Linked DNA regions of Kluyveromyces lactis. The protein of the gene in region 1 binds, or shares a complex with, the protein of each later gene. Links are inferred from orthologs where the notes say so. Each region holds a gene or a part of one and is shown on either strand. Other genes may lie near its edges. The genes, in order: RPA34 and RPA12.

The links.
Region 2: RPA34 (region 1) and RPA12 share a complex: the UniProt entries of both Saccharomyces cerevisiae proteins name them as parts of the RNA polymerase I (Pol I) complex. The link is inferred for Kluyveromyces lactis from reciprocal best matches to the Saccharomyces cerevisiae genes RPA34 and RPA12.

Annotation. Positions count from the first base shown.
Region 1 is NC_006037.1:552,608-555,272, reverse strand, and holds RPA34 (DNA-directed RNA polymerase I subunit RPA34), read left to right. Parts: upstream 1-1,285; coding exon 1,286-1,870; downstream 1,871-2,665. Other genes in the region: transcription factor TFIIE subunit TFA2, read right to left, coding at 1,975-2,665. UniProt on the Saccharomyces cerevisiae protein: DNA-dependent RNA polymerases catalyze the transcription of DNA into RNA using the four ribonucleoside triphosphates as substrates. Component of RNA polymerase I (Pol I) which synthesizes ribosomal RNA precursors.
Region 2 is NC_006038.1:1,214,101-1,216,597, forward strand, and holds RPA12 (DNA-directed RNA polymerase I core subunit RPA12), read left to right. Parts: upstream 1-1,360; coding exon 1,361-1,843; downstream 1,844-2,497. Other genes in the region: chaperonin-containing T-complex subunit CCT5, read left to right, coding at 2,103-2,497. UniProt on the Saccharomyces cerevisiae protein: DNA-dependent RNA polymerases catalyze the transcription of DNA into RNA using the four ribonucleoside triphosphates as substrates. Component of RNA polymerase I (Pol I) which synthesizes ribosomal RNA precursors.

The DNA.
Region 1 (2,665 bases):
AATTAAGCCTTTTAGATACATAAGACAAAGCAAGAAAGATTGACAGTTCTACAGGTTCTGCGATGATAACAGGATTGAAAATGGAAATGGATAATAACATATAAAAAGATCAGACATCCTAGGAAGGTCTCAATAAAGAGCGGTCACTGAAGAGTACTAACGATGGGTTCGTAGGCGTACTCCTACCGTGGAAACTGCGAATGTAAAGGAACCAATTTTCATCATATAAAAAAATGTTAAAATCCATAACGCACAATCATGTTCTTAGCTAAAAAGAAGAAGTGAAACGTTTTGAAGAAATAAATGCAACAGAAGATACGACGATGGATCTTGTTTCACTGTTACTTTGACCTTAAGAAAACTAAAAAGAGAAAACTCAGATGATCTAAATTGTACATGTCAAAGCATGTACTGGCTTAAAAAGTCGTTGCCCCGTAAGACAACAACATGGTAGACTCCCATATCGTCATGGTCGATATCGGACTGGGAAAGAAGTGTAGACCGTTTTCATCATCGTTAAATGTTTTGAAGTTCTTTCGTAAGGTATGAAGTAATAATGAATCCCACGTATATGCAAACTTTTACGTTTATTTCTTCATGGAAAAGGTCTCTTTTCCAAGCGTAACATAGACGAATCAGTGTTTCACGGCTGTGAAACACTGCTCCATCAAGGATACTATAAAGCTCACTTGCCAACAGCAAGTGAGGCTAGAGAACAACCTACAGAACTTTTCAATACCTAACCTGGATAAATGGTTTGATGAGTTTAACATGTCTAGTTTGTTTCTCATTACCAGCCTTTTTATATTCTTCGTGTCGAAGAAGCATGGAAAAAATTTTTGGAATAATTGCGTCGTTCGACATGATAATACAGTAAACCAAGTACTTAGGGCATCGATGTCATACCATTCAACGGGAATCATAGTATTAGTGATCCAATAAATGTTGCTCGAAGGCTGTTCAAGTCGGACATACCATTTCTCGATGGTTTGTGATGAACTGGAACAGATTTCATGAATACGATAGTTTGTTCCACGTGTTAACCACGTGCATTTTCCCGGGTAACGTCTAAAAAGAAAGAAAAGTCTTTCCCAAGATGAAAAAATTCGGTTTAAGCTCATCTCATCTCATTGCAGATTCAAATAGACACACAGAGGCAGATAAGTGAGGTTCTGTGTGGTCCTAGGGTTCCAATTACAGTTTAACTAGTTCAGGTGAGTTTTTGTTACACCCTTCCCTGTAATATTATTCCACTCGCAAAACGTTATAAGAAATATCTCAAACAATGGCCAAGGTCGACAAAACTCTTTCAAAGGAATACATCAGTGATAGCGACAGCGATAATGATGGATCATCAGAAACTGTAACGGACGTTTTCGTTCCACCTGAAAACTATAAGAAATGTACACATTTGAAATCATTCGTGAAGCCTAAGAACTTGAAGCAAAAAGAACTTTGGCTTATCAAACTTCCTAAATCTTTAGATGTCTCTAAGCTTTCGAAATTACCTATTGATTTCACAGCGGAGTCGGAAACTGGCATCGAACAAAAAGGTAAACATTTCTCTGTGAAGGAGGAAATCCAACAAGAAAATTCCACTTCTGGTGCATCTTCTTCTTCTGAATTGACATTATTGACTCCTGTAGATAAGACAAAGTTGACCGTCGATTCATCTGCATCAAGATCATTTGATAAGATCTTTACCATAAGCGAAACTGCAAAGATTCCAAGCATTGATTATTCTAAGGTAAGAGTGGATAGAAAGGATGTGTTGAAGGTTAAGGGTCTCAAGACTAGACATTTCGCAACTGGGTATTACGAGGATAAAGATTTGAAGAAAGTTAGCAAAAAAAAGAGAAAGCACGACTAGAGCACTCGTTCTGGTCTTTCTGTATATTATTTATATATAACGCACTGGTCATATTTTAATTTGGGTTATATGTAGAATACGTTCATTATAAAAAGTAGGTATCTTCATACCCTATCGGAATAATCTCTCAATATACCAGCCATATGTGTATTGGTAACTTTACCCTTTCTTGATCTACGTTTCTTGACCTCTTTCCTTGTGGTTTGCTCATTCTTGATCGTAGCAGGATCCACACTAGCAGGCTTGAGACCCAAATCTTGTAGTTTTCTTGGTAATTCACTACGCTGAGGTAGCTTACAAGCTTCCCACATCGTAACGAACTCTTCATCGATTTGCCTTGATGGACCAGCATGGTTATACCAGACAAACCTTGGAGAATTATCCTTCTTTGTCCGAAGAACAAGGATTCTGTTCTTTGCTTCTAACTCGTCGATTGTATCAAAACATTGTGGCCAACCATCTTTTAACTCTTTACATGATATACCCTTGAACGTCGCCTGTGATCTTAATAGTTGTAGCAATTCCTCCGCAGAATGCACATCGTAAATGGATACGTACTGTAAAGTGTTCCTCTTTGGGTCAAACTTGAATTTTTGTAACCCCTTTAACATCGGAATCACATTATTATCCTTAGGTAACGAAAGATATGATTCGATTTGATCTACCGGTACTGCTTCCCCTCTTTCTTGGATATATTCTGTGGCTATAAGCATCTTCGTGGAAAGATGTGTACTATCCAACTGGCCCGTTGGAGCGACGCTACTACTCTTGGCCCTTTTCTTCAGAGGCATATCC
Region 2 (2,497 bases), on another chromosome or scaffold:
AGGAACTTTTGAATGCGTTGGTACTGCGCACTCTTACTACCATCGAAATTCAAAATAGCACTGAAATCCGATTCTGAAGAATCGGATTTCGCACCAGAACCAGAACCAGAACCAGAACCAGCAGCAGCAGCAGCAGCTTGCTGCTGCTGCTGCTTCTCATTCTGATCCTGTTGCTTAAACCTCTCCTAGCCGCCAGTAAGCCCTGCTTCGTCTGTCCAAAACAACAAGAACGAAGAGTACAACGTGACCAGCACTGCAGCAAGAGCCAAGAACCATACTACGTTCCTGCCTCTATGATCTAGCATTTTTGACTGTACTACTAAAAAACCTGGGTCCTTTTCTCGTCGTCGCTATATTACTTTACCAGACGTTCGAGAGAAGGGCACCGCCAAAATCAAAAATCACCGTTCACTGACTGTTTCTTTTATCTTATATATATATATATATATATATAAGATATAGTTATGTATGGAGAGGCAGTATTATTATTTTATGAATGTCAAATCAATGTCAAATCAATGGTATTGTGGAAAAAGATGGCAAGGCAATTGACATGACAAGCAGGCAACAAAAAGCAATTCTGAAATTTGAAATCACCATTCCGATCAATTAGATGATCTTATTGAGGATCAATCAAGTTACCCGGCACAGACGGAAGGTCGTGCAAACCTGAAATTTGAAATCACCATTCCGATCAATTAGATGATCTTATTGAGGATCAATCAAGTTACCCGGCACAGACGGAAGGTCGTGCAAACCAAATACGGCGGGGACCGGCTGTTACGATAAGAAGAAACTAATAGAGCAGTGTTTATGTGCAAACACTTGCTCTGCGGAACGGATAAATTGGAGTTATTGCATTGTTATCGTGTTACGTCACGGATAATGGCTTTTTTAGGGCCTAGACCTTATCTTTGAATCTTTTTTTTTTTTTTTTTTTTTTTTTGTTTTTCGTTATCAGATAGATGGAGAATCCATGTAGTGGGTCTAGAACACCGATATTGGCACTCAAAGGGTTATTTTCCTAATTGGGGAAAGGGTGCAATGATTAAGAGGCACGAAAAAAGAGAGTGCCGTGCAAGTAGGCAAGGAGAAGGTGGTAAAAAATCATGAGGATTGTATGTAAGAATAGTGAGTGAGCTGTCGGACAGAAAGAAAAATGTCGGGAATTAGAAGAGGTGTTACCCGGACGTTCAGTCCGGGTAACACCTCGTGGTATATCCGGACTTCTTGGATTACCCGGACTACTACGTAGTCCGGGTAATGTCCGGGTAACAACGTCTCATTTCTTTTCCACTCTTCTCGAATGAAAAACTAAAGAAGCCTTTATTGAAAATTGAATAGCCTAAGATGAGATGAGATGAGATGGTATCAGATGACTTGCCTTGCATTACTCCCCCCCCGTCCCCCGCTTCCTCCCCCGCTTCCTCCTCAGCTAAGTACCAATACTCCAAAGAAACACTTTTGCATGTCTGTTGTCGGTTCTCTCATATTTTGTCTCGAGTGTGGTGATCTACTCGATGGACAAGAGTCCAGTCAAGGCAAGATCAGATGTAACCAATGCAATGCCTCTTACAATTCGTCAAAATTCCAAAACTTGAAAGTGGTAACCTCAACAAACGATAAATCGTTCCCATCCAAAATCAGATCCAAGAAATCGTTAGTTAAGACGTCTATTGCCAAGAACGAATTGAAAGATGGTGCTATCATCAACGAAAAATGTCCGAAATGTGCTAACGATAAGATGCATTACCACACTCTACAGCTTAGATCTGCAGATGAAGGTGCCACGGTGTTCTACACATGCACCGCATGTGGATATAGATTCAGAACGAATAACTGAGCACTGTTCTGCCCGCCCCATATATACATATATGTGTGTACATAATATAATAGAGAGAGAGAGTTAAATAATAATAAGTTGTTACCCGGCCCTGTATTTTTTTTCCAATTCTGTAATATGGAATTATTACAGATTGTCCAGCGCCATCAAATATGTATGTAATCTTCAAACACATTGGAAGTTGGTTTTCAATGAGACGTATCACTTCTGAACGGTGCCCCAACTCCAGCAATTCACACCGTATCGATATCGTTTCAAAATGAGTGTGCCTATGCCCGATCTTTCCAACGCAATTGTCGCTCAAGATGAAATGGGTAGACCATTTATCATCGTTAGAGACCAAGGTAACAAGAAAAGACAGCATGGGATCGATGCTAAGAAATCACATATCCTAGCTTCTAGATCCGTGGCTTCGATCATTAAGACCTCTTTGGGTCCTCGTGGGTTGGATAAGATCTTAATCTCGCCAGATGGCGAGATTACCATCACTAACGATGGTGCCACCATTCTTTCCAGAATGGAATTGGATAACGAAATCGCCAAGTTGTTGGTCCAATTGTCCAGGTCGCAGGACGATGAAATTGGTGATGGTACCACCGGTGTTGTCGTACTAGCTTGTGCCTTGTTGGATCAAGCGTTAGATTTGATCGAGAA